3 linked regions of the Tamandua tetradactyla genome follow. The protein of the gene in region 1 purifies or fractionates together with the protein of each later gene. This does not show direct contact. Links are inferred from orthologs where the notes say so. Each region holds a gene or a part of one and is shown in the gene's direction. Other genes may lie near its edges.

Region 1 (7,318 bases):
AAGGTAAGGCAGAGGGGGGTGTGGAAGGGAGCTGCAGACGGGCTCCCAGCTCGCTCTACAGGATTTCAGCATCCCTACCCGGCCCCTGCAGGCAGCCGGAGCAGCGGCTCCAACCGCAGTGGCAGCGACCGGCGGAAAGAGAAGGACCCAAAGGCTGGGGACTCGAAGTCAGGCGGCAGTGGCAGCGAGTCAGACCACACAACACGCAGCAGCCTGCGGGGACCGCGGGAGCGGGCTCCTAGCGAGCGCTCGGGCCCGGCAGCCAGTGAGCACAGCCACCGCAGCCACCACTCGCTGGCCAGCAGCCTCCGCAGCCACCACACGCACCCAAGCTATGGGCCTCCTGGTGTGCCCCCACTCTACGGCCCCCCAATGCTGATGATGCCCCCACCGCCCGCAGCCCTGGGGCCCCCAGGGGCCCCCCCGGGCCGTGACCTGGCCTCAGTGCCCCCAGAACTGACCGCCAGCAGACAGTCCTTCCGCATGGCCATGGGAAACCCCAGTGAGTTCTTTGTGGATGTGATGTGAGCAGGGCCCCTCACCCACTGCCAGCCTTTCCCACCCTGCCAGCTGCGTCCCTCTCTCCATCCGTCCATCTTTTTTACTTTGGTACCTGAAAGGGAAATAAACGGAACTAAATCCAGACACCCTAACTGCTTATGGGGTGCTGGGAGGGTAGAGTATACCCACCAATTGGCTCTGCAGCCCCTAACCTGCCTTTGGCCGGGCTTCTGCCCCCTACCCACTAACCTCTAGACCGGACTTCCCAAGATACTTCATTTCTCTGGCCTGCAGGTGATTAGACATGCTGTTGCTGCTGTTCACACCTTACCCTCCACACACACTTTAGGAGCTGACCCCAGCAGAGTCCCGGGATCCCTGCTCACCCCACCCCATTCTTTCCTTTTCCCCCTCAGGTCCTTTTCACCGTTCATTCAGCTACACCAGCTCCCTGTTAACCCACCTTCTCAAGCATGTGTGCAAATCTCTTGACTTTGCCCCAGAATGCTGCCACCCAACTACCACACACAAAAAAATTTTTTTCACTTCATCTGCTGCCCCTAACTTTTCCCTGCCTGCTGCCTCAGCCCTGCACTCTAGAGCTATAGTCACCTCCAGTAACCACCCATGCTGTCCCTGCCTGTGCTCAGCCCTGACCAGAAGCCCAGAGGGTCCCTCAGTTGCTTGAGCTGCTATTACATTCCAGCGAGCATCTCTTCTCAATTTCCCTCCACTCCCCGCCGTGCCTGGCCTGCGTGCTGGCTCCTTCAGACTCCTAACATTACTAACAAACAGGCTCGTCTCACCTCTGGGCCTGAAATATTTCTTTTCTTTGTTTTTTCCTTCCCCAATTTTTCCTGGGCCTGGAGCAGCCAAGAATTTCGGGCTGTTTGACTTTCTGTGAGTCGACAGCGAGGGCCTCCGAGGAGACCAGGAGCCCTACTTCAACAGCCCCTCAGGGCTCCCCAAGGATGTCCAGCCCCCACACCCACACTTTCAGCCTATTGAGTCACTAGGCTTCTTTGGGAGGGCCCCAGCCTCTCACCAATCACCTTTCCAAAGTGAATGTTCTCTCTCTCTCATTCTCTCTACTTCTCTTTTTCTTTCACACACACACACCGCACAAGGTGGCTATACAAGTTTGCTTAATCTCAGGGCTGGTCCCTGCTCAGAGGACTGAACCCCTCTTTTCCAGTTCTTTCCCAGGTTGTGGGGCCGGTTCCCTGACTTCCCTCTCCCCTCATCATAGTTGTAAAGCTTCCCACACTCATCCTCTCATCGTCCTACCTGGATAAGGCCCATAAGCTGGCTCTAAGTGGGCTCAGCAGAGGACTCCCCAAGCAACCGACAAAGGCCATTGTCACCACTACCACTCTGCCCCCACCATACACACACGCTTCCTTGTTTCCACATTAACCATGACCCCAGAGCAAGGACACAGGAACACATGAGACAGTTGAAGTTGGACAGGGGAACTTTTGGGACTTCTAGACAGTGCCAAGTTTTCTTGTATTACTTTAGTCTCTCCTTTAAACAAATCATAACTTCTTTTTAAGTCTCTGCCATAAAATCTCCTGGCTCACCTACACTCACCTAGGTCGGAATGTTAAGAGTGAGGTGAAGTCCTTCGTGCCAGGCTTTGGGGCAAACCAAGGTAGGAGCGTTTTGGCATTCATTCATTGAACAAATACTTCCTAGAGTTTTGGTGAACAGAGGGCTGTGCTGGAAGTGTGCTCAGTCTTCCCTGCCCTCTGGGAGCTCTGGGTTTGCTCCTATCCAGGGCTATGGCTTCCTCTAGCCACACTACAGGGCTGTCTCCTGTACTTCTCTTCCCTTTCTGACTCTGCCTTGTTCAACTCTCTTGAGAATTCCTCCACTACTACACAGGTCTTTAGTATCGGTGCCCCCCCTCCCCAAGTTCCTTCTTTGGTCTATTTCTCTTTCCTTTCTACTTATTCCCAAAATGGTCATTGATTGTCCTGTCCTCAATTGCCACTGATATGCTGGTGGTTCCCATATCTGTCCAGCCCCAACTTCCCCACTAAACTTTAGATCTGTATTCTTATTATCCACTGGACTCTATGGACATATCCATGTGGACTCAAGTCATCATCTTCCCCACCAAGTATGTTCTTGAATTCTATCCTGGTTATCTTTACCACATCTACAAAAGCTCATAAACTAGAACATTTATGGGCTATAATTCCTTCATCCCATATTTTACCAGTCAGCATATCATATCCACTCTATTCCAGCAATCTCTATTGAATTTGGCCCTTCCTCTCCCCTCTGCCTCTACTTTAGTGCACTGAGTATGGGATTTGGAGTCAGATCATTCTGGGTTTGAATACCAGCTCTACTACTTTTCAGTCATCCCCTTCTAGGAGAATCATTTAATCTTTCTGAGCCTCAGTTCCCTCATATGTAAAATGACGATAATAATACCTACCTCACAGGGTTGTTGTGAGGATTTAAATTAGATATTGTACGAAAAGTGCCTAGCACAGTGCCAGGCACGTAGTAGAGTAGGTGCTCAATAAATGGTAGCTATTATTATTACTGTTGTTATTGTTACTATTATTGACTGAGTTGGCAGGAGTTTAAGAGATATGTGTGGAAGATAAAGCTTTTGGAAAGGTGGGACAGAAGCCTTGAGTGCTGGTTCAAGCTTCAGAAGTGCCTGTATTCACTTATTTAGTGATATCAGGCTGTGATTATGGTTTGAGGGAGGCCAGATCATCCTGCCACATTCTAGCTTCCGGCAGGAGGATGCTAGGGATGGTAGGGTTTGCGACCAGGTTTCTTTTCTTGCCCTTCCTTCCTCCCAGGACAGGCTCAGCCCTGCCCAGGGAAGGCAGGATGCCATCTCTGTCAGATGAAGAAGAGCCAGCAGATTTCAGTCAGGTCCTGCAAAGGCCAGGCAGGCATTTCCTGTTTGAGGATTGGCTTTGTCTCCTCTCAGCTTGGATGTGAAGATTAACTGTCCATCAAAGAGAGGATTTCAAATCCCATGCCCAGTTGAAGTCAACTCACCATATCTCTGAGCAATATATATTTCTGTAACTAGAAGGCATACAGGTCCTGGCCTTGAGGAGCTCAATCATATAGACATAGCTGAGATAGAACATAGACTTATCCATGAAAAGCTCAGCTTGTTTCTTCCAAGTATTTGCCCCCACTCTCCTTGCGGGTCTTGATTCCTGGAAAAAGGTACGTTATTGGACCAAATATATGATGAAAAAGCTTAGGAAATCAGATTCGATTGCCTATTAGAAAGCGGTAAACTTCAGCACCCACTCTTTACAGCCAAATCGTATGTTTGTGTGTAAAGTAAGGACTGCCAATCCTCGGACTCCGGAGACTGAAAAGGCCTACAATAGAGTGCTTAACAGATGGGCTTCAATCAAGCGGCATTAATCCTCTAAGCCGCTCCAAAACAGGGGTAAAAGCAGAGACTACAATTCCCAGAATGCCTAGTGGGGAAAATAGGGTGGGCGGGGCGGCGTACGCGGGGATGTGTATTTCGGACGGGATGGAATAAAGGCTACGCCCAAAGGGCGGGGCGCGTTCCCGAAGGCTGTCGGTAGTTGTAGTTTTCCTAAACTTAGACCTCTCACAACTTAAGCGAGAAGGCCGAGGGGTCTGACGGGACTTGTAGTCTTGGCAGAGGACGAACGCGCACGCGCAGCAGAGGTCGGGGCGGGGCCGCGGCACTGCGGTGAAAGCCGAGGCAGCGGGCTGGCGAGCAGGGGGCGGGCGGACATCTTGGGATCGCTGGAGTGGCCCGGCCGGCCGAGCGGGGGGCCGCAGACACCAGGTGAGAGCGGGATCTGGCTTTGAGGGGTGGAGAAAAGCGCCGCGGGTCGCCTATCCAGCCGCCCAGCTTTGCCCTTGCCTGCACGGCGCTACGCGGAAAGCTGCCCACACCCAGGAGTGGCCTCAGCCCTCGGATCCGGGAGGGAGCTGACGGCGAGACTCGGGCGCCCCGGGCGCGGTTGCGGGATGGTCAGGGAGCGTCCACCTGACCTGCCTGGCGCTTCGTGGGAGAGGGAAAAGCACTAGAATCTTCCCAGAGCAAGGACACCGCGCGGCTCCCCCCTCCCCAAGATCGTGACAAACCTTCTACCCCTCGGCGCCTCCTCCTCTCGGCGCAAGGACGTTTCTCCCATCTCCTAGGACAGTGACACCCCCCGATCCACCTCCGTGAACTGTGACAAGTCTCCCAGCCCCGGCACCCCCCTCCTCCCAGGGTCTCAGTCCTCTGACACAGCCCGCACCCCGCTGCACCATCTTTTCCCGCGGCGGTCCCTGTCCACTGGGCGGAAAGCCCACTACCCTCTTACGCCTCTGCACCCAAACCGCAGAGCAGACTCCGTCTCCCCAGCTTTCTTTTATTCACTGTTGTCAATCTGTCCATACCGGGTTTTCCTCCTCAGCCCCACCTTTTCCAGACTAGAAACTCTTTCCTCTAGGCGCCTTCGTAGCTCTACTTCCCGCTGTATGGGTTCACCTGAGTATGCCGCCTGGCTGTGGCTGCTGGTCTTCTCCCTTGGCTAAATATTCCATTCCTGTCCTGGGCCCCAACTCTGCTGCTCTGGTGCCCTGGAGCTACCTACCACTTGATACCTGTGAACTTCGTTCTTTGCCGAGGACTCTCCCTCCATTTTGCATTTCCTTTTCCAGCTTCTTTGGGACTGCGGGCTGGGATGTGTCCACCACCCTGAGAGACTTCTCACTAGTCTGGTAGACCTTGATGGCCACAGTAAAAGTCTACTTTCCAGTTTAGAAAAGCCTGCTAAACTCTCCCCTATGAAATTAATACCAGGGCTAACCTAGGAAATCTAGAACCAAATTAACTCTTTTTCTCCTCTCAAACTGTCTAAATTAGTTTGACCCAAATAATTTGGGTAATTCAAGAATATCTGACATCCTTGCCCCTTTCTTATGGGCACTCAGACTAGAAGTGAGTTAATTGGTGGGTCTGAATAACAGAAATTCAGATGGGAAAATCAACCTCCAACCCATCCCCTGGATTTAAGAGGGAACCTCTCATTTTGAAAATAACTGTGGTAAGCAAAGCTTGGGTCACTGAAGTATAGTCTGTCTGTCAGGGCGGGGGCTCTTTTGCCTGCTTATCTGACTGCCTGGGAGAAGTTGGGGCCACACACTTAGGTCCATGTCAGGGCCTGAAGCCTCCCTTCTCTCTTCCTCCCTCACCCTGCACACCCTTTCCTGGAATGTGTAAGCCTGTGGAATTAGAGAGCTGGCAGTTCTGGCCCTGCTGCCTTCTTAGAAGGGTAGTAGATCCTGAGAGCTCCTAAGGCTGTGCCTGGGGGCCCCATGCCTGAACCAGCTGGAGTAATTCCTACCGCCATTCCTCCAGCCGCAGTGACTCACTAACTGGAGCCTGAATGAGAATCTGCACAGGAGGGGGCCAAAAAGGAGCCTCTCTGAGCTCAGTGATGTGAAGAGGGGGAGGGGGCCACCGTCTGGGCTCAGCCCCAGAAAAAGGAGGGTCAAAATGGCCTAGATCCTAGGCCCAAGTCCCTCGCAGTCTTTTTCGTCCTTCCAGTGTGGAATAAACAGGAACTGGAGCCTGGCTGAAGGGAGGGGCATGCCTGGAAGGGCTGCAGGATCACTTGCTCAAGGATTGAGTCAGGAAAAAAGCCCCACCAGTGACCTGCACCACCCTACAGGGAATGTTGCAGGGGTTCTTAGACCTTCCTTTACCCTGTCCCTTCCTGTCCTAGGCCTGTTCTAAGAGCAATGGACTGTGGAGACTGAGCTGCCGCCATGATTGGAGGGTTATTCATCTATAATCACAAGGGGGAGGTGCTCATCTCCCGGGTCTACCGAGATGACATCGGGTGAGTCCTCTGGCTGAGCCATCTATGCCCCTACTACCCCTGCCCCTCTCCTCAGCATGCAAGACTAGGTTTATTCCTAGCAGAGGCTTGACTTGTACCACCCTCGCCCCTTGCTGCATCCTGGAAGCTCAGCTAGTACAAGTTGATTCCCATTAGGTGTGCTGGCCTGGCACCCAGCTTGCAGGCTGCTAGGTGAGACTTGTAGAATCGTGTAACTGCCTCAGGCTTAGGACTCCTACCCTTCATGCTTCCTTGTTTCTCTTAGTGACAGACCTGGTTGCTGGAGGAAATGAATGCTTTTTCCCAGGCAGGTTGATTCCTCCTCTGAGTGGAATTAGTGGCCAGGCTGCAAGTCCTAATCCAACTAAGTCTTGTTCTCAAAAGCCCTTTTCACATTTCACGGTGGGAGCCTTCACTGGATTCTCTCAAAAACCTCCCCAGGCTGCCAAATCCTCCCCACCCCCCCTTTCTCAGAAGTAGCCAGGCTGCTGATTCAGCCATTTTCAGTTCCTCTAGGCCATTCCTAGAGGAGAGGTCCTGAGCAAGCCTGAAGCAAACCACAGTCACTGAGGGAAAAACAGGAAGGCCTTGCTCCCTTTCTGGCCTATATGAAGCAGACCCAGAACAGTTCTTTGTCATGAGTCCCTGAGACTACAACAAGGAACCAGAGCCTCACCTCTCATTCTGCCGCAACCTACTCACCACTGTTCTTTTCTGAATGAGGGGTCATAGCCTAGCCTCAGCAGCTCTAATGAAGCTAGGCTTTTCTGGTTCCTCCTGCCGTTTTCCTCCCTCAAAAAGCTCGGGATAAGCAGTGACAGAATGGATATGTTACAGAGCCCCTAGCTCCTTGGTTTCCCAGCTGACAGGCTGACTTGGCCATGGTGGCTGTTTGTCCATTGGCTGGTGGTGGGGCATGAGCTGGAGTTGGGGCAATGCCTGACCTGCCC
Region 2 (7,253 bases), on another chromosome or scaffold:
TCTTGCTCGTTGTGCAAAGCTTCTGTGAAGAGACAGACATCTGAAGTGTCTCATTCCAAGATTGTCGGAATTTATGATTGGTATTGCATTTAATCTGTCGATTGCTTTGGGAAGAATTGCCATCTTAATATTTAGTCTTCTGATCCTGAACTCAGAATGCCCCTCCATTCATTTGGGTCTTCTTTAATTTCTTTCAGCAGTATTTTGTATCTTCCCACATACAAGTCTTTAGTTAAATTTATTCCCAGATACTAGTTTTTTCAGTTGCTATTGTAAATGGAAAATTTTTCTCAATTTCCTCTTCAAATTGTTCATTACCTAGTGTTTTGAAACACTACTGATTTTTGCATGTTGATCTTGTGCCCTGCCACTTCGCTGAATTTGCTTATTAGCTCTAGTAGCTTTGTGTGGATTCTTCAGGATTTTCTATATAGAGGATCATATCATCTGCAAATAGGGAAAGTTTTACTTCTTCCTTTCCAATTTGGGTGCCTTTTATTATTTCTAATTGCTCTGGCTAGAACTTCTAGTACCACACTGAATAGCAGTGGTGACAGTGGGCATCCTTGTCCTGTTTCTGATGTGTCTGCTGTTTTTTAATTCTGATTTAATTCTGCATCTGCATAGCTGAGTGGTCAGATAATGATTTGGGCAAAAGTTTTACTCAAACATCGTGGGTTTGTAAATCTTCCTCCCTCTGCCAGTAGATCTTTGGGTGGATTAAGAGATGCAATCAAAGTTGCCACCAGTTCTCAAGTTTCCCTTGGCTTTCAGCTTTCAATGGGTCCCTTCACTCACCTCCATGCATGTGAATAGTTTCCCAGCCAGCCAGGGGCATTTAAAGAACTTATTTTAGCCCTCAGATGAGTCTATTACCGATATCTTCCTGTTGGAAGATGTTTCTGGTTGCTTTGTCATTTGCCCCACTTGTAGTTAGCAAAATTGTGGGTTTTCCACGTTTATTTTCACCCGAGCATGCAAATTTTACTGTAATACTGTGAATTTTGACTTCCCACAACAAATGTAGTCCATCCCCTCTTGCAGCAAAGCTGCTAATCTTTTTGCTAGCCTGGTCCACCATGGTAAAACTAGAATTCTGGTTCAATGGAACGGGGGCAATAGGACTGGATTAGAATAGCCTCAAGCAAGAAGGTCGCAGATTTCCTGTTTTTTTTGGAAGTTCTAGCAGGTTTCCAAGAAAAGATACTTCAATTTGTTCGGTTGATTTCTGGTGCCCTGAAATTGCTGTTTTGGACAATTTTGTCTAGTTTCATACTCGTTTTAGGTTCAAAGGAATTGCCAGTCATGTCACACAGTCATAGACAAAATCCCTTTTATAATTTATTCTTAAGGGGCCTTTCAGTTTCATGTAAAAGAAATCTAATTTGAATGAGGTAAGACTTTCAGAACTTTGAGTCACAGAAAACCCAACACAAACTGGCTTAACCAATATGGGAATTGTATGGCTCACAATACTGAACAGTCTATAGGCACAAGTCTTGCTTCAGGTGAGGTTTGATTGTGTAGCTCTAATGGTGTCACCAAGAGCAAGGTTCTGTTCCATCTTTCTGGTACTTATTTGACAGTATTCGTGTCATCCTCAAGCTCAACCAACACCTTCCCTTTTAAACCCCATGCCTCCAGGCTCTCTCTTTACAGGTGCAAAATGTTACCACATTTTTCAGTTCTCATATTCGTAGACCATACCTGTGCTGATTTGAATCGGTTGTGTACCCCAGAAAAGCGATGTACTTTAATTCTCATTCAATATTGCTGGGTGGGACCTTTTTGACTTTTTCCATGAAGACATGACCCATCCCATTGTGGGTAGTAACTTTTAATTAGATGGTTTCCATGGAGATGTGTCTCCATCCATTCAAGGTGGGGTTGCTTACTGGAGCCCTTTAAGACGGAATCATTTTGGAAAAAACTTTGGAGCAACCAGAACCAAAAGAGTCCACGCAGCCAGAAACCTTTGGAGATAAGGAAGGAAAAAGCCCCTGGGGAACTCCACGAAGCCAGAAGCCGGGAGAGAAAGATAGACATCGTTATGTGCCCTTCCAGCTGACAGAGAACCCCCAAACTTCATCAGCCTTTCTTGAGTGAAGGTAACCTCTTGTAGGCACCTAAATTTGGACATTTTCATGGCCTCAGAACTGTAAACTTGTAATTTATTAAATTCCCCCTCTAAAAAGCCATTCCATTTCAGGCATGTTGTATTCCGGCAACTTGCAAACTAACAACATCAGAACATAAGAAAGCTGCACTTTCCTAGAGGCCCCAACACAAGTTTCTGTGGGATTCATTGACTCTGACTGGGCTATACATATCTCTCTGAAACTATCATAATTGTCACAGAGAATGGATATGCTGCATGGCTTAAATGGGAGGAACAAATATTTGGGAGGAAACTAACAAATATCTTCTATAATCACACACATTAGCCCTTAATAATAATGAGTACATGAATGAATATATTGAGTCATTAGACTCATAGACTCATAGCACATAGAGACGAGTTGCAGGAAATACCGGCTCTGAGCCCCAACCAACTGCATACATGCTACGAATTGCTTTCTCTCCTCCATTTCTCCTTTCTTTGTTCTTTGCAATCTCAATTGGCCACGTTCATTCTTACTGCAAACAGATATTGCATGGAATATAATCATCAGCAGTGACCTCAGCAGAAACCTTTTTTCTCCCTTCTTTGCGTCCTTTCAGCAACTTCTGGCATGGACCTAGCTTGGGTCAGTGCCTGTTCCTTGGCCCAATCAGCGTTGCCAGAGCACAGGGTCTAGTGATATGAATGATTACATCCCTACCCCAGTGGTCAGAGGAAACTGTTGTTTCCAGAAGCAGTGATGAGAACTTTTTTGGGGCAGTCTGAAAAAACAGTGGCTACCACAGACCACCTCAGCATCCAATTGTGGGAAGCTCTTGCGTGTAAGACTGAGGGGGGCGCTGAACTTTACTGGGTAGGACATGCAGAGTACAGAAGATAAATCTGTACTTAGATTTGAGAAAAACTGATCTGGGAGGGATAGTGTCGGCTGATTGTGGCCTGCCAATCCAAATATATAATGAAGTTTTAAAGAGAGCAATGCAGGTAGTAAAGGAAGCGACTGGGTACGACCATCTATCTGTCCCAAACCCCACTTCTTCCCTAAAAAACTGCCTACTTTCATAAAGCAAGAACAAGTGATAAGACCCTGCTTTCCAGCCCTCAATGTACATTAGAACAATTCTTCAAGTCCTTTACAAAGGACTTTTCTACGCCCTCGGTTCTGGAGGAAACCCAACTATTTCCAGTTCTACCGGTGCCTTAAATATGCAGCTGGGCAGTTCTTATCCAGGTGTTTCGTAAACGTGGCGCCAAAGGGATGGGTGGCGGGCAGGCAGCTGTCCGCTGCCCCACAGGGACCAAGGAATTTTGCAGACGATCCCGACAGTTTTTACAAGTCTCCCCCCACAAGTCCACGTCGCTTCCTCTTCCCAAAACCCCCAAGCAAAAGAGTTCCCACCGAAATGAACGGTCCCCCGCCCAGCTGAAGGCCAGGATTTCGCCCCACCCTGCGGCAGGCTGGGCCGGCCTCCGAGGCTGGTTTAACCGGTTAGCACCACTGAAGCCCGCTGGCAATAAGCAAGGGCTGGACTTCGAAAGCCGAGGACAGGCGGCTCAGGACGCGGAGGGACCACCACGGGAACAGCCCCCAAACCACCGCCGTTCACTCCTTTTCCGGGCAGGCAGCCCACCCAGTTCCCAAGGCCGCGCACTGCGCAGGCGCCGGCGCAGGACCAGCGCGTCGCGCACACTCGCGCTCTCGGTGACCACAGCGCGCCCGGGGCCGCAGGGCGCGCGATGCTTCCTGGGTATCGTAGTGCACACCCTCCGCACGGCGTCCTCCCGCGGCCCGAACGTCGGGTTTCCGCGGACTGCGCCTCCCAGCGTGCCCCGCGCGAGGGGCCCTCGACGGCCTTAGCCGTCAGCCTGCAGCAGCAGGACACCCGGAAGCGGCGCGGGGAGGGAGTGCGCCTGCGTGCGGGGCCGGCTCGTCCCGTTCCATCCCAGTCATTGTAAACAGGCGGCGGCTGGGCGGGGTGGGGATGGGGTTCCTGAGGCCGGCCAGGGGCGCGGCGCGGGGGGCGGTGACGGCGGCGGCGACGGCAGCGTGAGCGCGAGGTGGCGACGGCGGCTGGGGCGGCGGTCGCGCGGCGGCGCGCACAGGTCAGTCGTGTGGAGTGGTGGCGTGCCGTGGTCGCCGCAGAGCCCCTCGCGTACCCAGGGATCCTGCGGCCCCGGCCTCGCCCCGGGGTCTGTCAGGCGGCGGGCGGGGCTGGTGCTGACCGCTTGTCGGGGTTGGAGTTGGGGGCTGGGGGGCGTGGCTGCCCCGTGAGGGTTCCTCCCGGGCCGGGGTGCTGTCCCCCCTTGCTGTCTGTCCCGTCCACTGGCCGGCAGGCCTCCCCTGGTGGCATCCGCACGTGCGGTGGGGTGCTCTCTGGGTGTGGGGGGCCTCCGCCTTGCTTTCCCGCGCGGTAGGAGAGCCCTTCGGGAGCACGCTGAGCGGAGGAGAGGGGACTCGGACCCTTTTCATCATTGTTATTATCTCCTAGTTCTTACCCGGAATGTTGACCCTCGTCCAGCGCTTGCTCAGGGGACTGGAGATAGGCGCTTGATTTGTGCCCCGGCGGGTGGTGGAGCCCCGGGCTCCTTCGGGCACGACAGCCCTTAGTTCAGGTTTCAGTGGGAACGGACCGACAGATTTGGAGTTGAGAATGCTTCTCACGACCCGTTCTCAAGTGTGCATGTGCCCAAATGCTCTGCAATGAGGTCAGCTTTTTAAAAATTATTAATTTAAAATTTTTTTAAGTTTATCGTGGCCTTGAGAATGAACCAGGCTTTACAAACTATTCCAGCCTCAGCTTTACCTGAAGTAAGTGTGCTGTTTCAAGTTTTGGGATTCCTTACTACAGAGTCGCCCTCTTGAGCAAGCAGCGTGTTTCCTCTACGGCCTACTCGAGTTCTTGAATGTGATTAAATTTTTAATTCGAAGTGTTTTGAACGTGCATGTAAGAAAAGTACACTCGTTTGAACAATGAGTTACACCTTCCGGCAGGATTAGAAACACTTTCACTGACACTTTTGGTTGGTGGAGTGGACGTATTCTAATGTTGCAGTACGTTGGGCTGCACTCCAATATAGTGGGGCAGATATTCACAAATTAAGTGGTGCCAAGGAATAGGGCCACTTTTGGTTTGGAGCCCATGGAGGCAGCATTTCTAAATGAATAAATGGGACTGTAATGAGAAAGGTAAGATCACATCTACGTTTAGAATTATCTTAGTGCATTGATGTTTTCTGAGTATCTTCCTCAAAATGAGTAATTAATGTAAGCTGTGTCAGCAGTAGATGGGGTAGGAAAGAAGTCGGGAGAGTGGTTCCTGCTTTTCTGTCTGACCCATAGCTGCCAAGTCTGGCAGACTAATTTGAGTAACTATTGACAAGCAATTCTTTAAACAAAGTATCTTAAAAACAAAACTACATTATACCTAACTTGCTAGCTCTTCAAAATATTATTTTTCATTATTGATCTTACAGGGACCTTTTCTCCCTTAATGTAGAAAGATTAAAAATATTATTAGAAAATGCATATTAACTTTAATTTGTACCCTTTATCTCAAGGTGAGATTTAGGCCCAGAATGTAACCTGAAAGTATCTTCTATTTTGAAAGAAAATCTCTAATAGAAGCTTCCATTAGATTATGTAAGAGAGGACAAGGAAAAATGCAGATTATTTAGGGTAGAGGAATTATCGTGCAGCAGGTGCCATGCCAGGTAAAGAAGACTTAAAGATGAATAAGGCAGTATCCCTGCCTTCAGGATGGTGAGACTGTATCCCTTACTTGAACTGTCAACAAGCACAATACTTTTTTTGTTTTATCTTTTTGTTTTCGTTTTTTGTCGTTGTTGTTACTTTTATTTTTTTGTTTCAGTACAATACATTTTTATGAATACTTTGATTAGAAAAAAAAGTTTGTGGGTATGATGTGTGTACAAAGGAGATAGCTATCAGTTTCTCAAGGGAAGTGAAGGAGGAATTGAAGAAGAGGGGGGTGGTAAGTAAAAATATATATACAGATATAGAAAGGATGGGCATTTAAAAGGAATAGTGTGACCAAAAGTATGGCAACCTAGACATGAAATTGGGGGTGGGGTAGGCAGAGACCAAATTATGGATTTATGTCTCATATGTCATCAAAGTAATTTCAACTTTATTTTGTAGGCAAATGGGAGCCATTGAGACACGACAAAGAAGCGAGACCTAAGCCAGTTGAACCTATTTTTAACCCCCTCCTATGTGTTAAAAATTAGATGCTTTACAGTTTATGCCATTAAAGTTAAAGAAAATTTAGACATGACTAAGGCAGAAAAGGGAGGGAAAGGGACTTCAGGCAAAGAGAAAGTTGAACAAAGACAAGAGGGAGAGAGAGAACATAACACATTTATGAGAATGAAAAGTTGTTTTCTGTAGTAGAATTGGATTTGTGGTGTTGAGTAGCAGAAGATGAGGCTATACAGATAGATCCTCAAAAGCACCACATGCCATTTAAGAATTTTAGACATTTTTTTTCCTGTAGGTAATGATAGAGTATAGGAATTTTAATCAGTAAAGAAACATTGTAAGGTTTTCATTTGAGAGTGATCATACTGGTATTAAGGAGTATACTTTTCAGAAAGAATGGAGGGAAAGTGAGGTTGGATGCAGAAAAACTGCTTAGGAGGTTTCTGCAGTGAATGAGGTGATAGAAGGATCTAAACTAAGGCAGTGTCAGTAGGATTACAGAGGATTAGGTTAATAGAAATATTCAGTAGGTAGAATCCATAGGACTTGGTGGCAATTAGATTTGGGGAGTGAAGGAGAAATAGTAAGATAAGATGACTTGGATTTTAATTTTGGTGATTGATTAGACAGTGATGCAATCTAGTGAGTAAGGGAATTTAGGAAAAGGGGCAAATTTGAGGAGAAGCAATATTTTAGCTTTTGTATATATTGAGTGAAGCATCCATGTGTAAACATCTGCTGAGTATGAATTTAAAGTGGGAGAGAACGTTCTGGCTATGAGGGTCATCAGCTTAAATATGCTGTTAGATGAAGTCTTTGAATTAGGTAATACTGTGTACCGACTGAGAGAAGTACTAGAAGTAGACCCCGAAGAACAACATTTGAAGCCAGATAGAGGGAAAAATGGAAAAG
Region 3 (8,071 bases), about 92 Mb from region 1:
CCTATTTTTCCTTTATAATGTCCTGGCTCATCTGCTCATTTTCAGGGGCCACCCTTACCTCTGTGCCAGTCTGAATTTGTGCACCCCAGAAAAGCCATGTCCTTTAATTATCATTCAATATTGCTGGGCAGGAGCATTTTTATTGTTCCCATGGAGATGTGACTCACCCAATTGTGGATAACTTTTGACTAGATGGTTTCCATGGAGATGTGTCTCCATCCATTCAAGGTGAGGTTTTGTACTGGAGCCCTTTAACAGGGAACCATTTTGGAAAAAGCTACAGAGCCCATGCATCCAGAGACCTTTGTTTGTGAAGAAGAAAAATGCTCCCAGGGGAACTTCATGAAACAAGAAGTCAGGAGACAAAGCTAGCAGATGCTGCCATTTTCACCATATGCCTTTCCAACTGAGAGAGACACCCTGATGTCATAGGCCTTCTTGAACCAAGGTACTTTCCCTGGATGCCTTACATCAGACATTTTTACAGCTTTGCTTTAATTTGGACATTTTCATAGCATTAAAACTGTAAACATGCAACTTAATAAATTCCTACCCACCTCCACTCCCCCTTTTTTTAACCATTCCGTACCTAGTATATCGCATTCTGGCAACTTGCAAACTAGAACCACCTCCTAACAGTGATTTGCTGATTAACTCAATGCCTCAGGCTTGGGTTATAGCCACTGGCTGCTGCAAGGCCAATCAACATGTTACCCTATGGTCATCTTATTTTCTGAAGGTCCAAACTCTTTTTGTTTACATGAATATATTTCTATTATTGTCCAACATAAACTCTGCAATACTAAAGTTACTTTAAGTTCGGTGTTCAGCCACCCTCGTTTTTTATTTTAAGGAAATTAAAATGTCAAGCAAATAAGCTACAGAAAAACAAACGGAGTTAACTCCGAAATGTTACCCCATCCACTCAGGTCATCAGTTCAGGCTCTGGCCAGCTGCATCTCCAATGCTCTATTCCCCATCCCACCTTAGGACTGGTGAACAGCATGATACTCGTTAGAGTTTTAGGGTGAAATTTTCACTTATATTTTGATCACTTGGGAAGAGGTGACAATATTAAGTTTGAACAATGTTTTAATTAACCTGTGAGATTTTTCATATATATCCACAAATCAGAAAAAGATATCTGTCCAAATATTTGGTTAAAAAATATGGTCAGCATAATCAAAATCAACAAAGAGGAGGTTTGGTTCAAGTAACACTTTGCAGGCTGTAGAGAATGGTCACCCTAACTAGATATGCCAACTCTGTTACTTAAATCAAAGAGGGAGGGGAATAGTCTTAACTGCCGGAAAACTTCTGAGCCTGGTGTAGGAAACTTTTCTGTCTTTAGAAATCTGTAAACTCTAAGGAGACTGTACAAGCAGTGACCCAAGGTGATATTGTTTTGCTGCATACAATTGCACTGCTGTTACAAAATGGCACAGGGGACCCTGTCTCGCTTGTATCTAACTGAACTCTAGAGTGGTCTATTTCAGGAAGGACTTAAACAGAGCCTGGGTAAGCACTTATGGAGGCTTCTTAAAGGGGATTCAAGCATCAGTTGAGGGGGAGAGGGTGCTGAGAGGACCATTAAGGTCTCTTCTAATTATGGCAATCTAGGTTCTTATGAACATTAAGATATATTTGACTGAATGGATACACATGTGGCATAACCTATATTTTTATGCAACCTGATACAAAAATGGATGAAAGGGTGAAAAAGCAGAAAAGGAAAAATATTCTTTTTGATATGAGCTTTAGGCAGAAGGAAAACAGGCAACTGCTTAGAAAGGATGTCAAATTCTTTTTCTCTGTGCAATGGCGGTTCCCAGCATGTACTTAGTGGCCCCTTAAAAATAGCAGAAAATTCATGACTTTAATCCCTTCCCCACAATAACTGTTTTTACTTTTATTATCTGTTCATGTATAAAACACATTTTCACTTGGAATCTAGGATTTCTTACATGAGGCACTCTCCTGCCAGCAGCTCTGGGGATGCGGTGCAATCGGAGGTGGGTGGAGAGGTGGTGGGATGGTCCTTTTATCCAGTTTGTAATCATAAAATGGTCAGGTTACTAGTGTTCACTGTAGGGCCATTTAACATTTTATGATCCAGAACAACAGAAACTTAACTTTCTCTTACATTACATTACTCAGTACCATATATTCCCGTATGCTATCATTGGGGAATGACAGTAGGAGGGACAGTTTTCTCTTTCTGTTTTACTCATGTAACACAGGGACATTATAGGTGGAGTGTGGTGGTGTTGAGGGTGACAAGCAATTGAGGGATCCTTCCTATTTGTCACCAAACTTCTCTCCCTTCAGCTGCTAACATTACAGCAGACTGTATTATTTAATTTTCCAATTCACAATAAAATATTGCGGAAACAAATCTTGCTTCAGGTGCAAAATATGATTTACGTTCAGTTGAATATTCACAATAACTGCAAAATCAACAGAAAATAATTCCATAGAAGATGTATCATTTATTATAATGTATAAAAAATAGAAAATTATTTTGCAAAATACTGTAGTTTATTATGGGTGGATACATGTGTCTATTCTTGCTCCTCTACTCAAAAAACTCTTAGTTCAAGGGAGTACTGTTCACTGGGTCTAGAAAGAGCACAAATAACTTTTCTAATGTCTCTGAAAATAGTCTTCATGAAGATCACAGGCTAAGGACAAGAAATTTACTTTTTAACCAATTTTTAAAAGAACAGAGTTCAAAAATAAAATCACTGTGATTCCATTAAGAGCATTTTTAGAATTCCCAGGTTCAGCGGCCCCACCTCCTTCTTCAAGGCGATACACAAATTAATCAAGACTCATTCCTGGGCCAGGGGCCCAAGCAACTAACTTTGCTTTCAAATGCACAGCATGCAAAGTTGTGAAACTACCAAAATATTTCACTGCACCTGACAGGCAGCTTGATTTTGTAGGGGGGAGTCCACTCCACTGAAAATACAAACATCTGAATCCCTCCCATAATAAGCTAGAGCAATGAAGTAAGATTAGCAGCAAAAGGTAATAATTATATACTGCAGGGGTAGGTAGATAGGATGAAGAAATTATTAAATGACTGAAGTTTGAATCCTGGCTCCCCTACTAACTAGATTTGACCCTAGGCTACCTTCTTTTAATCTTGTTGGGCCCTAGTTTCCCCATGTATAAAAAGGAATAATAATAGTAGTTACCTCAGTGGGTTGCTGTGTGCATTACACAATACATGCAAGGCCCTCAGTACAATACCTGGCATAAAATAAGCATTCAATAAATGTTCGTTATTTCACTATTATTTCTGTAAATTGGGCAGAGAACCTCAAGGTAGTTCTGAACCCATCCATCTCATCAGCAAAGGGTTTGGTCAAGTGCAACCTGACCTTTTCAGTTGCTATTATATCATCTGCACCTCTGCTATCCAATCACAGTAGTCAATAGCCACACGTGGCTGGCTACTGAACACCTGAAATGTGTTCAACTGGAATTGAGACGTGCTGTTAAGTGTAAAAGATACACCGGATTTTTAAGACTTAGTAGGAAAGTAAATTAAAGCAAAACATCTCAATAAGTTTTAACATCGATTACGAGTTGAAATTGTATTTTGGGCATGTTGACTTAAATGAATAATATATTATTAAAATTTATTTCATGTGTTTCTTTATACTTTTTTTTTTAATGTGGCCACTAGAAAATTTAAAATTACCTAAGTGGCTCGCATTATATCTATCTGTACTGGACAAAACTGATGGAGAACCTAATGTGGAACGGCGGCCCCTGGGCGCTTGGTAGAAAAGCAGACTCTCGGATCCGCTCCCGACCTACAGAACCAGTACTTGTACCTTAACAAGGTCCTCCGGCGATTTTTAAGCATCAGCTGTTTACCTTAAAGAAGTGGGCAAGGGCGGCCTTTTAACCACATAAATGGAAATACGCTCTGGTAACTGTTTAGCGAATAAGAGAGCAAGCGGAGGGAGAGAAGCAGTAGGGGCGGGGGGGAAAAAAAAGAAAAGAAAAATTAAATGAACAAAAAAAATAGAGGGGAAACATCCAATCTGCGAGACAAATGGAACATCCAGGCCTCTGCGTCCAGAAGAGGGGAGGGAAATGCAAAGTGAAATAAAACCTGCAATTAGTAACCTGTGAAGGGCCAGGAAATTGCCCGTGAAATCAATCAAGCCCTACCCGCCCCTCTGCGGCCTTAGCTTATTAGCTAGGCCTGGACGTAAGCGGGTCTGAGGCTGGGCCGCGACGTGAATCACCGTCCTCCCGGAGCTGACGGTTCCGCGCTGCGCCTCTCGACCTTTTACCAAAACCCCGATTTCCAAGCCGACACAGAGCGTTTCCCGGGACTCACCTGCCTCTAAGCCGCCCCAACCGCCTGCGCCTTCGCCACAGCCACCTTCCAGGGCTTTCGCAGACAGGCCGCACCTTTGGACCAAGGCGCTGTTCCTATTGGCCACCTCGTTCGTCACTCCTACGGGGCTGAGCCGGACTCCCGAAGGCTGTCCAGAACGCCCTAGCAACCGAACTGGGAACTACAATTCCCGGTATGCTCAGCTCGTGAGTTGTGGTCGCCTCAACGAGTTCCATTTTATGCAAATTTAAATCGAAAGACCACACCCTTCCTCATTCCAATCGTATCTCCTAGAGCCTTCCTCAAATTGTGCCTTGCCTCCCTTTTGTCGCCATAATTTTCTCCCCTTTAAAGCCTTCTGTAATTAAGTTAGTTGGATACACCCTATCTAGTGTTTCGAACGGCAACGGACAGAAGCACAAAAATCTCCATAAATGTCGACAGTAAATGCCCGGACCAGAAGCCTCCAGTTACGCCTTCGTGGAGGGGGCGGGACGAAAGAGAATCCTACGCCCGCCCCATTTGAGAATGCTGATTGGTTTATTCGGCTGTCGCTCCTACCTTTTCCAGTTTCCCGGCTCCCCCACCTTTCGCTCCCGTGGCGGGCGGGGCTAGCGATAGGGAGCGTGAAGAGGGGAGGACCCCTTCTTATGATTGGTAGGCTAGATGTCCCCGCCCACCTATGGGCGGAGATGTGGGTGGGTAGATAGGTGGGGGGGTGAGGCCGACGGAGAAGAAGAGATAGGCGGGGGCGAGGGAGGGAGCGAAGGAGCGAAGGAGCAAAGGAGGGAGAGGAGCAGAGGAGCGAAGGGAGGAGGGATCGCAGCTTGGTTGCTCCGTAGTACGGCGGCTCGCTAGGGAGAATCCCGTGCGGGCTCCGGGACGCACGGATCGGCAGGCGGGCGGGCGGGGATGTTGTGCGGGGTTGTGGCTCCTGAGTCCATCCGCGCTGCGGGTGAGCTGCACTGATTTGTCCCCAGGGCGGCAGCGCGGACCCGCCTGGAGATGAGGTGAGGAGCGGGCTGGACTGCGGCGGCCTGGACCGCGGGAGGCGGCGGCGGGGGTCGGCGCGATGGCCGCCCGGGGCGCCCTACCCACGGCCGGCGCGCGTTCCTGCCGGCCACCCTTCGCCCTCTGCCGCGCGCTGGGGAGGTGCGGCGCCGGCCGTGCTCCGCCTAGTTCTTCCCGGTCCTCCCTGGGGCCGCGGCGGGGCGGCCGGCTGACCGGCGCCGGGGACCCGTGGGGGTGGCGGCCGCGGGACGGACTTCGCGGGGAGTGGGCGCCCTCAGCCCTGGCCGGCGAGCGACCTCCGTCCTTGAGGGGCGTCGGGGGCGGTGGGTCCTTCCAGGGCTGACCTCGCTGCCCTCGGCCGCCGGAGTGTGGCGGGTTGGCGGAGCCTCACCTCCCCGCCAGCCTCCCGGGGAAGCGGGACGCACGGGGAACGGTATCTTGCTGCCCGCCTCTCTCACCGCCTCTCCGGCCTCGCGCCGTCGGCTCATGCCTTCTCCTCCTGCCTCGTGCGCCTGCAGAATCCCTGTCATTGAAGGGCAGTCAATGCCGTTTGGCCCCAAGCCTCCCTGCCTGGGCTGACTGATGGTATTTAACCAAAATCAGCTCCCTTTCCAGTGCCACTTCGCCTTCCCTCCTTTACGCACAGACAGGGTCTTATGGTGTGACCTCTAAGGCACGACTGCGGTCTTTTCTTGCCTGAACTAAACGAGGAAATGTAATTAGAGTCCCCAGGAAAAGGAAACCAACGAGGAAGAGGCTGTACCTTCCTTCGCTCTGTCTTTGGATGAGAAGATAACTTCGTAGATTGCATTTCCTACGGGCATCTTTTGTCGTGATTCAGACGCTGAAGAAAGCTTTGCTTTTGAAGAAATAGATTAGCGGTTTCTGTAATTGAGTATGAGGCGGTGGAGATTTTTGATTGCCTCAAATATGAAAGTTTTCTTAAAAACTTTGCCGTCATCGGTGCTATTCTGAAAGCAGCATCCACCTGAAAATTTAAATGTATGCAGACTTGCGTTTCTTTGTGCCCATCTGTTGGCATCCTGCTCTTACTACTTTCGTGGTCAAAAAGTATTGATTTAAAAGCAAGTATAATAAAAGCTACAGATAATAAAAAACAAGTACAATAACAAACACATGCCATCTGGAAGATGTAGCAGGGAGGCAGTTTTACTAATCCGGTTGAACCTATGAAGAAACAGGCTCAGAGATCTTATTATGGGTTTTGTAGAGGACAGGGTCTGAGGGCTAGAAGTGGGCCAGGGTCCCAGCAGGTCAACTGCTTTGCGTGGTGCTACTCTTAACCCCTAAAATAATGGTAAATGTATTTGTTGGGTTTTTATTTTTAGATGACTTTAAAGTTGATAGTGCAGAAGCTTAAAGGCATCTCAAAATTATTCCATCTCTGAGAACAAATACTATGTTTAATTTTTTTTTTACTTGAAATATTTAGGTTGTTTCGATGGGTGATTGCTTATAAATAAAAACTTTTTTTTTTTAAGTATTGAAGAACTCTTTCTGCATGAAGGTTTGCAAAGAACCCAGGAATTTTAAAGTAATCTAAGTTAATAAATGAGGGACACTAATTTGGTGATGGCATTAAAATTATTTCAAATTCCTTTAAGTAGCTCCAGGAATGGGCATTTCTGATAGAAATTGCTAAGGCACGTGGTACCTTCACAAGACTCTATTATCATTCTGCCTGAGTAAGAGGAAATGAACACATTTTTAATGTACTTTGGAACCCTGTGGATTGTTCAGATACTAAGCATTGTGAAATAGGGCATAAAATGAGTACTAATAAGTTAGTTCCATGAAATGTTTGTCACTCAGCATTTTTTTTTTTTGCAGTTCACTAGGAATTTCCTTTTTCTTAATACTTATCTCTAATATTGGTAGATTTCTGCTAAGCTTACTGTTTCCCCAGATGCTTAGTTTGAGAAACTCAAATCTGTAAGAGATTAAGGAGGAGGTGCTGGTAAATTCCTCTACTCTTACCTGTCTTCTTAATTTACTAAATTTGTGAATTATAGAACATTATATTACTGAGGACAGCTCACATTCCACTATTGTAGAGCTTTCTTAAGCTTTTTGTTTCTTCTAAATGATCAATCCCTTCTTACTCACTTAACTGTTTGAATTTCTCAGTGTCTGGACCTCTCAGCTTACTTACCTCAGCGTTAACTCAGGTATGTGTTAAAACAAAACAGGTTTCTGTCCTGAGCTCAGAATCAGCCTACCTGGGAGTAGGGCCCTGGAATCAGTATTTTCAACAAGTTCTCCAGGAATTTTTCTTGTATGGTGAAGTTGGAGAGCTATTGGCGTTGCATCCCATCCTCACTGAACACCTCCTAAATTTTATTTGGTTTTTTAGGACACTTAGAACCATGTTCTGAAGTGTATAACGTGCCAGAATAAGTTATATACCTTAGGCTGCGAGTAGAAACCTTTTGACTGTGATTGCCATCTTGGTAGTGTTCCTGTAATACACCTTTCGGAAGGTCAGAGACTGTCTGGCTCACCAAGTATCTCTGCTTCCTAGCAGAGTGCCTGGAGTAACTCATTTAAATTCCTGTTGAGTAAAGAAAGGAGTGAAGGACGGACATCACAGTAAAACCAAGGTTTGCCACCTTTGCTTGTGAAACTGATTTTTTCATTTAGTAGTCACTGCTATTATGAGTTAGGAGGCAAAAGGACTGT

The links. The genes of interacting proteins can lie anywhere in the genome.
Region 2: the proteins of AP2M1 (region 1) and RALBP1 purify together in Homo sapiens (affinity purification with mass spectrometry; 3 studies listed by BioGRID and IntAct, counting the BioPlex papers as one, with this or other methods). This does not show direct contact. The link is inferred for Tamandua tetradactyla from reciprocal best matches to the Homo sapiens genes AP2M1 and RALBP1.
Region 3: the proteins of AP2M1 (region 1) and ITSN1 purify together in Homo sapiens (affinity purification with mass spectrometry; 3 studies listed by BioGRID and IntAct, counting the BioPlex papers as one, with this or other methods). This does not show direct contact. The link is inferred for Tamandua tetradactyla from reciprocal best matches to the Homo sapiens genes AP2M1 and ITSN1.

Annotation. Positions count from the first base shown.
Region 1 is NC_135336.1:2,441,992-2,449,309, forward strand, and holds the start of AP2M1 (AP-2 complex subunit mu), read left to right. Parts: upstream 1-4,204; 5' UTR 4,205-4,318; intron 4,319-6,251; 5' UTR 6,252-6,294; coding exon 6,295-6,368; intron 6,369-7,318. Other genes in the region: DVL3 (segment polarity protein dishevelled homolog DVL-3), read left to right, coding at 1-3, 92-528.
Region 2 is NC_135344.1:73,019,300-73,026,552, forward strand, and holds the start of RALBP1 (ralA-binding protein 1), read left to right. Parts: upstream 1-4,163; 5' UTR 4,164-4,225; intron 4,226-4,258; exon of another isoform or gene 4,259-4,312; intron 4,313-7,253. UniProt on the Homo sapiens protein: Multifunctional protein that functions as a downstream effector of RALA and RALB. As a GTPase-activating protein/GAP can inactivate CDC42 and RAC1 by stimulating their GTPase activity.
Region 3 is NC_135336.1:94,020,391-94,028,461, forward strand, and holds the start of ITSN1 (intersectin-1), read left to right. Parts: upstream 1-4,981; 5' UTR 4,982-5,370; intron 5,371-8,071. UniProt on the Homo sapiens protein: Adapter protein that provides a link between the endocytic membrane traffic and the actin assembly machinery. Acts as a guanine nucleotide exchange factor (GEF) for CDC42, and thereby stimulates actin nucleation mediated by WASL and the ARP2/3 complex.